3 linked regions of the Arabidopsis thaliana genome follow. The protein of the gene in region 2 interacts with the protein of the main gene of each other region in a pairwise test. Each region holds a gene or a part of one and is shown on either strand. Other genes may lie near its edges.

What was found. The genes of interacting proteins can lie anywhere in the genome.
Region 1: the proteins of AT5G17560 (region 2) and GRX4 interact in a two-hybrid assay, tested with the Arabidopsis thaliana proteins (one study listed by BioGRID).
Region 3: the proteins of AT5G17560 (region 2) and CXIP1 interact in a two-hybrid assay, tested with the Arabidopsis thaliana proteins (one study listed by BioGRID).

Annotation. Positions count from the first base shown.
Region 1 is NC_003074.8:5,307,180-5,311,285, reverse strand, and holds GRX4 (glutaredoxin 4), read left to right. Parts: upstream 1-1,661; 5' UTR 1,662-1,902; coding exon 1,903-1,974; intron 1,975-2,251; coding exon 2,252-2,392; intron 2,393-2,478; coding exon 2,479-2,578; intron 2,579-2,690; coding exon 2,691-2,757; intron 2,758-2,931; coding exon 2,932-3,010; intron 3,011-3,101; coding exon 3,102-3,152; 3' UTR 3,153-3,521; downstream 3,522-4,106. Other genes in the region: AT3G15670 (Late embryogenesis abundant protein (LEA) family protein), read left to right, coding at 385-438, 522-1,145; AT3G15650 (alpha/beta-Hydrolases superfamily protein), read right to left, coding at 3,522-3,606, 3,694-3,787, 3,886-3,968, 4,051-4,106.
Region 2 is NC_003076.8:5,786,712-5,790,495, forward strand, and holds AT5G17560 (BolA-like family protein), read left to right. Parts: upstream 1-1,646; 5' UTR 1,647-1,762; coding exon 1,763-2,086; intron 2,087-2,421; coding exon 2,422-2,489; coding exon of another isoform or gene 2,490-2,493; exon of another isoform or gene 2,494-2,664; coding exon of another isoform or gene 2,665-2,683; exon of another isoform or gene 2,684-2,818; coding exon 2,819-2,960; 3' UTR 2,961-3,253; downstream 3,254-3,784. Other genes in the region: PEX19-2 (peroxin 19-2), read right to left, coding at 32-77, 160-476, 785-1,073, 1,243-1,282, 1,410-1,455.
Region 3 is NC_003074.8:20,340,843-20,344,283, reverse strand, and holds CXIP1 (CAX interacting protein 1), read left to right. Parts: upstream 1-1,819; 5' UTR 1,820-1,912; coding exon 1,913-2,434; 3' UTR 2,435-2,927; downstream 2,928-3,441. Other genes in the region: AT3G54910 (RNI-like superfamily protein), read left to right, coding at 7-720, 783-923, 1,051-1,317; LHCA1 (chlorophyll a-b binding protein 6), read left to right, coding at 3,362-3,441. UniProt on the Arabidopsis thaliana protein: May only reduce GSH-thiol disulfides, but not protein disulfides. Probably involved in the regulation of the redox state of the BOLA proteins. May act as Fe-S cluster donors to Fe-S cluster-requiring proteins.

The DNA.
Region 1 (4,106 bases), on a different chromosome or scaffold from region 2:
TGAAAATTAGCAATCTCATAACATGCGACGACGATACTTATGGTGTTGCCACGTAGCAAGCATCTTCCTCTTAACCATGAGGTGTCGCAACCTCAGAGGACAACACGGACAAGACCGAGAAACCGCATACTAACGCTTGCAACGTAAAGCACAACACCCCTAAACTCCTATTTTTTTAATTTTCTTTTAACCTCAACACACCACGCAGCTATACACGTTTCAATGTGCTAATACGTGTCTTCTTCTCCGCCGACCAAGACACACTACAAATGTCCCGATGGTTTGGGGAGACAAATCACAGTTTCTACTACAACAACAAATACTTTTACGAAAAAAGCTTTTAAAACTTATCTAGTTTCGTTTGATACACATTTGAAGAAAGAAATGGCATCCAACCAACAGAGCTACAAAGCTGGTGAGACCAGAGGCAAGGCCCAGGTAATAAGAATATATTTTTGTGTATGTGTATACGTAAAACCACATTATATAAGCTCTAAGATGATTTGTCTGTGTAATACCAGGAGAAGACTGGACAAGCTATGGGAACGATGAGGGACAAGGCTGAGGAGGGCCGGGACAAGACTTCTCAAACGGCCCAAACAGCCCAACAGAAGGCCCATGAGACAGCCCAGTCAGCTAAAGATAAGACATCTCAAACTGCCCAAGCGGCTCAGCAGAAGGCCCATGAAACGGCCCAGTCAGCAAAAGAGAAGACATCTCAAACTGCCCAAACGGCACAGCAAAAGGCCCATGAGACGACGCAAGCAGCAAAAGAAAAGACATCTCAAGCTGGCGACAAAGCTCGCGAGGCCAAGGACAAGGCCGGGAGCTACTTATCGGAGACAGGCGAAGCCATAAAGAACAAGGCTCAAGACGCTGCTCAGTATACAAAGGAGACGGCTCAAGGTGCGGCACAGTACACAAAGGAGACGGCTGAAGCCGGTAGAGACAAGACGGGTGGATTCTTGAGCCAGACTGGTGAGCATGTTAAGCAAATGGCAATGGGTGCAGCTGATGCAGTGAAGCATACTTTTGGGATGGCTACTGAGGAAGAAGACAAAGAGCATTATCCAGGAAGTACTACTACCACTACTGCAACTACTCGAACCACTGATCCGACTCATCAGACTTATCAGAGGAAGTGATGAGAAAACAAAATTGAGAACGATATGAAAGTATCTTTGTGTTAGTTGGTCTTTTGAGTTTTGTGTTTGTGTTTTTGTAATTTCCGTTGTGTCTTTCTTTATGGTTGTGGTTCAGCTGTGTTTCTTGTTGTGACGGTGATCCTGGAGACTTCTAATTTCCAGCCAATAAGTTTAGATTTGATCCTGTTACAACTTATGTGTTCTCAAATTTCTATTTTTGTTACAATAAACAGTTATTAATACACATCATGGTCCACTTCGTATGTTGGTCATCAAGCATTAGCATTATACAGATATAGCTGCTAATCCAAACGGGTTTTACTAATCTTTCAATTTCTTTTATCAAAAATTTCAATAAAACATTTGTGTCTGCTTTTACGTTTTACGAATCGTTCAATTTCATAGATCTACTAAAATGAGAGAAGTAAACCAAAAAAATTGAATAGTAATTTATCTAAACCGAGCAAACCAAATAAATTTATCAAGACGTCAACGGACGTATACTTTGGTGACCATCCGAAACGACATCGTATAACATCTTAGGGTTATGAGTAATGACACGACGTCGTTCTCTGGGTCGGTCACTGGAGATGAAGAGAAGCGGTCGCGACATTGTAAAGATCTCTAGCTCCGTCCTTCTTCCTCGTAGCTACCCTCTCTAATCTTTTTTTCTCATTCCTGTTCTTGATAGTTTTCTAGACAGATTTCGATTAAACAAAACCGCGGAACACTTTGAAGAAATCTGCGTGATTTAGAGATGGCGGCTTCTTTATCGAGCAGACTTATAAAAGGAATCGCTAATCTCAAAGCTGTTCGTTCTAGCAGATTGGTTAGATTCTCTCATAACCCTTTTACTCAATTTTGATGTATCTAATGTTTGCTCAATAAAGTTTTCTCTTTTCCCATCTTGAATCACTTAAAAATTGCTCCTTTATATAACATTTGAGGTTCTGATTCTTTTGTTAGTTGAACCGGATTAGATAGTTACGTGAGCGTATGGTTTTGAATTATGTGAAAATGAATTTGTTTCCAATAGAAGATGGTATTGATGATCATTTGATAGTTGAATTTAACATGGAGAAGAATGATGTGGTTTTTGTTTGCAGACGTCTGCATCAGTCTACCAAAATGGGATGATGAGATTTTCCTCAACAGTGCCAAGTGATTCAGATACACATGATGATTTCAAGCCTACACAAAAAGTCCCTCCCGATTCTACGGACTCACTTAAAGATATCGTTGAGAATGTACACTCCAGCTTCTCTAGATTTGAAGTTGAATGTTTCTTTGTTAGGTGTTTGCTAATGCTGTTTTAGCTTTGGTGGTTGTGTAGGATGTGAAGGATAATCCTGTTATGATCTACATGAAAGGTGTCCCTGAATCTCCTCAGTGTGGGTTTAGCTCACTAGCCGTCAGAGTTTTGCAGCAATATAGTAAGTTTTGTTGAAATGTTGATTGAAACTGAAGAAGCCTTCTGTGAATTTTCTTTACTATTGGCGTTAGGCTCTGTGTTCTGATCTACTATCTTGTGATATCCTTCTTTAGATGTTCCTATCAGTTCTAGAAACATTCTAGAAGACCAAGAGTTGAAAAACGCTGTGAAATCCTTCAGGTGAGTATGTGGACACTTAATGAAAGTTTCATACAGAGAGTTGTATAATCTCATTCTCAAAGTTTTTTCATAAAGTTTGGCTTTGTTATTGAAGTTCGTTACCGTTCATTCCTTAATCTTTGACCTATATGATCTAGACCTCCCTTTGATTTTCAAGTCTTTATTTCTTTGCAGCCACTGGCCTACGTTTCCACAGATCTTCATTAAGGGAGAGTTCATTGGCGGCTCAGACATCATCCTTAACATGCACAAGGTTAGTTCCACTTAAAGCAGACCCTGTTTGACTTTTTTTTCCCCCGTTTCCATTGTGTTTGTTTAATCACAAGTCTCTTTTACTATTCTAGGAAGGTGAATTGGAGCAGAAGCTTAAAGACGTCTCCGGAAACCAAGATTGATCCAAAGTTTGGAAGTTATGCTGACGAGTGGAAGTTATTATGTTTTTGTTCTTTCTTTTCATAAGAATGTCTTTTCATGTACGGTAAAATAATGTCTCAGAAACTCAAAAATCTTTGGATTTCGTATGAATAAAAACTTTGGTAAACTAAGATAGCAAAATCAAAGAAGCCCAACGAGCCTTATTTATTTATTTTATTATTCATAATCAAGAATCGAACAGTAGAAAAGCATGAATAAATCACAAAACAGTAGAAACATGAGAGAACACCGTATACCCCAAGAAACCCCCCACCCCTTATATATATAATATAAATATTCTACACCATCGTATAATAGCTATAGAGATGCTGAGAAGATGCTTGTAAAGTTTAACGCGAACCCTCGAGACCAAGCCTTGAGACGAGCCAGTGAACCACCTCATCCATTTCTTTAGGAACCGTATAGTGACCAAGCCTACACAATCACATTAAAACCTCACAATCTCAGACTAAAACAACTAGATTGATAATGATAACTTTGGGATATAGGTTGAACAGTTACCCTTCATATGGTTTGAACATAGTTTGTCGGAATCCAGCCATGGCAAGTGAATGAGCAGATTTTTCTCCAAATCTATAAGGAACTACATCGTCCGCTGCAACCAAAAAACACATAAAGTGAATAAAATTCTAGATTCTCTTCGGTGATTTTATCTTGAAACAGTAAATCATATAATGATATATGTAAACATACAAGTTCCATGTGCAAGTAAGATCGGTATCGATGCAGCGCGCCTTGCAACCTCATTCGAACTTTCTATTTTGCTCCTTAAGCTCCTGCATTGTTATGTTTAAGCTTTCAATGTTAAGTCTCTGTGTTAACAAGTGACAAGAAAGGGTTGAAGACATATATTTATACCTCCAACCAGGAAGCCAACCGCTAAGTCCTACAGTAGCTCGTAGGTTTATAGTATA
Region 2 (3,784 bases):
CCAAACAGTTTTCTAAAACCTGTTTCTTCCCTCACATTACACAACAATTTGGTGAAGACTCGAGCATGTCCGGAGACCTGTGAACATATATATATACAAAACTTAGTCACCTTGGGGTCTTTAAAGATCACAGAGATTCCAATAAGGAAGAAGACTTACATTTGGCCCAGACTAGCGAAATCAAAGCCAGGATCCATCTCTTGCACTATATCACTCGGTGGTTGTCCACACTCTTGCATCTTCTGCATTATCTCCATTATCTTGGTCGAATTGTTTGGTTCGTTCTCGTACACCAAGTTGAGTTCTTTGATAAGTTCATACTGGCGTGAATAACGATCGAATTCTTCCTTGTTTAGACTGGATTCATGCTCTTCTAGCCATTTTGGGTATCTTGCACCAATCTCTTTCATTGGTTCGTGAAGAATATCCTTCGATAACAGCTGTTGCATCATCGTGTCCACTATCGACTCCAAGTCCTAAACAAAAACATGGAAATTATGAAATGAGAAATCATAAAAACAAAACTTCTAGTGATCAAGACTACTTTCAAATGGTTCTGCAAACTAATTCTCATCTTCAATTGTGGTTTTTTCGATATTAGTATCAGTATCACTACTATTAACACAGCCTTCAAAACTACTTTGCAACATGTGTTACTACTCTGCAACAACCTTAACTAGATGAAACTTTAGTAATCTAATCTAATCAGAGAACTTGAAGATAAAGAGAACATTAAACTAGATAAGTATAGCAAGAAGTAACAACTCAGTTTGTGTATACTTACGTTAGACCCAGTAAGATTCTCGAATTGCTTGATCCAATCTTCAACCATAGCATCATCAGAACCTGTAGGTTGCTGCTTCGATGACAAGGACTCAAGTCCCTTCACAGTTTCTCTAGTTTGTTCCCTGAGTTTATCAAGTGCCTCAGTAACATGGTCCTCTTTAGCAATCTTTTTCTTTCCTTTCTTCTTACTCCTCATATCTGGTAACCCCATTCCAAGACCTTGAACCCCACTTGGCAATGACTCTGTCTCTTTTTTATCACCCTCTTCTTTCTTAACCCCTCCATTTCTACATAAATCCAAAGCTAATCAACACCACAATTCCCACCAAAAACATAACAGAACCTCTAATTTAGTATTGATGTAACCACAATCTCAAAACTCTAGAGCTAAGTAATCTAACCACGTGGCATAGATACAATTAGAGAGAGACAGAGATTATGAGAAAAAGGAGTAACCTTTGAGTAAGATTAAGATCCTTGAAATCATCCAAGGCACCTGAGAAAGACCCAGAATTCTAAATTATAGAAAACGAACCCACAAGAACAAAAACGTTTTTCACCAATCACCTAGAATTGGTGAACATGTTATCAAATCAAATTAAAATTCGTTAGGAAATTATTACTATCGAGAAGCTCGTCTAAGTCATCGGTGTGAGTATCGTTGGCCATATTCTCGAGTCTCTCTTCCTCAACTCTCGAAGAAACTCACAAAATTCGAAGAGGAAGAGAGAATTATCGCATTGAAGAGAGAAACAAATTTCCAAAGGCGGTGTTGTTCAATTGATCAAGTTCAGGATTCGATCCAACGGCTGACATTATTTCCATTAAAGAATTATATTATTAAAATCTTAAAATGACTTGAAACCACGAAAGCCCATTAAGTTTAACTGTGTTGTGTCGTAAGCCCATTTTTTCAAGAACCAACGACATTGCCACAGAACATTTTTTTTTTTTTTACTCGCAAGTCTCTCAAGCAATGGCGCAGACATTAATGGCGACAACTCGTCCGTACGTTCTTCTCTCTTCCACAAGAGCGAGTCTTTATCGCCTTTTTCAATCTTCAAAGAGACCCTTCGCTTCATTCTCAGCTCCTCTCGTGAGATTCACTAACTCGAGATGTGTAAGCGCCGTTTTGTCTCGTAAAGAGACTGCGCCGTCGTCGATTTACGGCAATAGAGTTTCTAGGGTTTCTGGGTTTGGTGCTTTGGACATTCGCAGCCTTAATTTCAGTACTAAATCCTCTCAAATCAATGATGCTGGTTCTATTGATCAAACCCTTATGCAATCCATGGAGCTAAAGGTTGGATTTTTATACCTCATTAACTAATTTCAGTGAAATTGATTCATTGTGTATGTTTCAGTGTCAATTCAATTTATAGGTTATAGTATTATTAGTGAATTTTTGAAGGAATTGATTGGATACTTGGTATTGGCAACATGTGTCATATTTAGTTGATGGAAACTTGGTATTGGCAACACGATTGCTCTCAGTAGCTCCAAAATGATCAAGATCACTAAGCTAAGATAATTAATGAGGAATCATGTCTCTTACTTATATGATTGAAGCAAACGATTCTTTTTTTCGATTTATCAACACATGTCTCTCTACTTATGAGGTTTTGGCTTCATTTGCAGATCAAAGAACAATTGAATGCAGAGTCGGTTACTGTAACGGATATGTCTGGAGATGGACGTCATGTCTGGTAAGTACTCTGATTTAACTCATTTTTGTCTTCCAATGATGATTCTTTATTACACTTGAGTGAAGTTGCAGATGTGTGTTATCACTGTTATGGATAGTGTTTAGTGAAGTTTGTTAGATATATAGATAAATTCATATTTTGAGATTCCTTTTCTTTCATTTTAATCACAAAAAAGTTTCAGGTTCAACAAGTAGTAGAATCATCAAAGTTGGGATATAAGTTAGTACTTATTCTTCTGCTCTTGATGGAATCCAGTCATAGATTCTTACTTTAACTTGTCATATTAGATGGTTCTGTTACTTAATACCAGTTTTGCTTAATATTTGTAGCATCAATGTGGTATCATCGGCTTTTGAGGGACAATCTGCAGTGAACAGACAAAGGATGGTCTACAAAGCCATTTGGGAAGAGCTTCAGAACGTTGTTCATGCCGTTGATCAAATGACAACAAAGACTCCTTCTGAAGTTTGAAGCGTTAAATTTTCCGAACTCTAAAAGGCTTCAATATCTTATATTATTTGATTAGCTGACAATGCTGTTTGTTTTATCAAAAAGAAAAAAGCAAAAGGAACTGATATACAGCTTTTGGTTATTTTTTAAGTACTTTGATTGGTTCTCTTGCAACCCGCCAACACATGTTAAGTGTTGGAGCGTTTGCGGTTTGCGGTTACACGTGTTTGGCGTTTTCAATCGCTCTAAATGAATAAGAACAAAATTAGCGTTTGTGGTGGCGGATTATCTTCAAAATAAACTTTATTCTCTACTAGCTAATGTTATCATTTCAAAAAAAAAAATTTAGTCGATAAATAGATTAAAATATATTTGTGGTCATAAAAATTATATGTATGCATGGAAACGTATCAATTCAAAACTGAAAAGTTTTTTGCAATGAAAATTGTAAGATTTATAATAATATGATTGTTGCTTTTATATACATGTTACATGCATGAATAGTGAATAACTGAATATTGAACTACTATGGTTGATTTGGGAACCGTATTAGCCATCAACTAGACAAAAATCGTTTATATCAGTAGTAGCAACACTTAATAATGGTTACAACTAGTCCATCTGCTCAAATTCCCATATCTTTACTTTAGCTACATGGATTAACAGTTTTTTTTTTTTTGTTATCGGTTATTATACCATCATTAGAAACATAATGTTGTTTTGTAAAAAAAGAAAACACTCATATTGTTACAACTTGGAAACATAAGTTCATTTAACTCCAATTATTACAAGTAGACAAACATAGGTTTTATAGATACTATACTACCACAACCCATCACATGTTT
Region 3 (3,441 bases), on a different chromosome or scaffold from region 2:
CTTTGGATGTGGTTGCCTAAACTTAAGTATGGTCATAGAGATTCTTCTGAATGCAAGAGGTTGGAGTGTTTTCTTGACAAAAATCTGCCATTACATAGAGCTCCGGTTATAGAAAGCTTCCGTCTTTACTTAATTGATTCAAAATGCACACCTGAGAATATCAAGATGTGGGTTGTTATAGCAGTTTCTCACTGCCTGCGTGAGCTGGAGGTTATTTATTCTTCATATCCGGAGAAGCCAAACATATTGCCGAGTAACTTGTATACCTGCAAATCGCTTGTGATCTTGGAACTCTGTGGCGAGATTCGCTTGGATGTTCCTCGAATGGCATTTCTTCCCTCTCTGAAAACTTTGCAACTTCACAGCGTGAGATACCTCAATGAAGACTCTCTTCATCGGCTTCTATCTAACTGCCCTGTTCTTGAAGATCTATTGGTGGATTTACTTTTGTCAGACAGCATGGAAAAGCTAACTGTTGTTGTCCCATCTTTGCAGATTTTATCACTCTTTATACCTCATTCTTATGAGATCGATGGGATTGTGATAGAAACTCCTTCTTTAAAGTATTTTAAACTTATAGACCATAACAGTAAGAGTCACTACTGTTTGGTTAAGAATATGCCTAACCTGATAGAGGCAGATATAGATGTTGAATTACATAGCATCAAGAGTCTTATTGGATCAATCACATCTGTCAAGCGTCTTTCAATATGTTCACAGGTATCATTTTCTCAACTCATTGTTTAGATATGCATTTGCTGATAATTTTTAATATTGCGCAGGCTATGTATGATGGAGGTTTTGTCTTCAACCAGCTTAAACATCTGAAGCTATGTAGATGCAAAGGGCATTCGTCGGATTTACTTGTCCGACTGCTCAAAGATTCTTCTAACTTACAAGCACTAGACCTTTCCGAAATGGATGTAAGTTTGTTCGTCAAACTCTTTTTTCTTGTCTGATGCACATTATGGTTTTAGTGTAATTCTTCTTCTGTTTGATCTGTAATTCTTCTTCTGTTTGATCTGTAATTCTTCTTCTGTTTGATCTCAGTATCATGAGAATCATGATATCCTTTACTGGCATCAACCAAGTACTGTCCCTGAATGTATGTTGTTGAGTCTCCAAACTCTCAACTTGTCGGCATATAGAGGAACACCAGAAGAGAGAGATCTTGCAGTGTATTTCTTGAAGAACGCTGTTCACTTGAAGACCACAACAATCAAGTCATGTGTTTTTGATGATGAAAGATTTGACATGTTAAAGGAGTTGGCACTTTCTTCTAGAGCTTCAACAACATGCCAACTCGTGTTTGATTGAGAGTATTTGATCACCAAAACAAAGCTTGTTCTTCAGTTCTTCCATGTCCCCGGGCTCGTATGGTTTGTCTTCAACCTGAAAATTTGTTTTCGTCAACCATCTTTTTCTATGTTTTCCGTTTTTTTTGTATGTGATAAAAACTTTATTCTATATGTTGTCCACCAAAAAACAAATTATGTTGATTGGAGAAGTTATATGATAAGTTTTAATCGTTTATGGGGTTTTATAGGTGTGTAGAGATATATACATACCTTGTGAATGAAGAAAAGAGAACTAGCTCTGTGTTGAAAAACTGAAAAGCATTTGATGCCCTGATAATTTCTCTAAAATTATTAAACCGAAATACTAATACGATCCAAGTGGAACCAACCAATTTCTTAATATCTAAAATACCGGAATCTAAAGAGTCGAACCAAACCGAACCGGAATGTCCTCTAATTTTTATTTTTAAACCCATGATTATGACATGCACTACCGGCTTAGTGGTGATGTTTGGCAACATGGTTTATTCAATTCTCACTCGCACTGAGTGTCTGTGGCTCATAAATCATTTACCTTTTCAATTTCTCAATTCCAAATCTAAAAGTCGTCAAAAATGGCTCTCCGATCTGTCAAAACGCCGACCTTGATAACTTCGGTCGCCGTCGTCTCCTCCTCCGTTACCAACAAGCCTCACTCTATCAGATTCTCTCTTAAACCAACGTCGGCACTCGTCGTCCATAACCATCAGCTATCGTTCTACGGTTCGAATCTCAAGCTGAAACCAACTAAATTCCGATGCTCAGCGTCGGCTCTTACGCCGCAACTTAAAGACACGCTGGAGAAACTGGTGAATTCGGAGAAAGTGGTTCTGTTTATGAAAGGAACGAGAGACTTCCCGATGTGTGGATTCTCCAACACTGTGGTTCAGATTTTGAAGAATCTGAATGTTCCTTTCGAAGATGTGAATATTCTGGAGAATGAGATGTTGAGGCAAGGACTTAAAGAGTATTCGAATTGGCCGACGTTTCCTCAGCTTTATATCGGCGGTGAGTTTTTCGGTGGTTGTGATATTACTCTTGAGGCGTTTAAGACTGGAGAATTGCAGGAAGAGGTGGAGAAAGCTATGTGCTCTTGATCCTGATTTCAATACTTGGTTTTTGTGATGATGGAATTTGATCTTATCTATCTATCTATCACCTGGGAAAAAAAATGTGATTTTGATGTTTCAGAGTTTGTGGTTGTAACATTAAGAGACATATATTGTATGATGGATTTAGGTATACAACAGTTGGAGTTGCTTGGAATTTGAGTTTCCTTTGTCATATGTGTTGGCCTGCAAATTTGTGTTGTTTGTTGAAAGGTTTATGTGTGAAGTAGTGCTAGTAGAATCTAAGTTTGTTTCTGACTAAGAGACATGAAGTCATGGGTTGTTATGCTCATTCATATCCTGATTGAGATACAATTTAAAGAAACTTAGTTCCAAAGATTCTGAACATTCACCGGTACAGTGTGTCTGCAAATGGTATTCTGTCTCACTTCAATGTCTAAACACGTTGTCTCAAAATGTATCGTTTGTTAGATACTCCTTTCAAGACATATGATTTAGCCTCGCATGTGTTCGTTGATCCAAGTTTTACCGGTTTGATAAGTCTCCAGTCTTAGCAATAAATCCAGACCGGATTCATGACCAATCGCAGATTTACCGGTCCGGGTCAAGTTTTAAAACATTAGTAGAAATGTGTTTCACCGAACAGGAAGACTTATCTGATAGCATCTCGTTGCAGTGGATAAATGGCAAAATAGTAATATACGTAGATTCTGCTTTTATCTGAACCACATAGTGCAGATGGATATCGAACAGAAGAACATGATATCGAGAAGACACGTGGCCCAATGAAAAAGCCACGCAGGCTCTGTATAGCCAATTGCAATCTGGTTTTAGATTCTCATCTCACAAATCTTACTTATACGATCAGTCTCCCACATTCACACTTCCACCAAACACCTCTCGTCCACATCTTTCTCCTTTGGTGGCAAACACAACGACAGATAGAGAGAAACGATGGCGTCGAACTCGCTTATGAGCTGTGGCATAGCCGCCGTGTACCCTTCGCTTCTCTCTTCTTCCAAGTCTAAATTCGT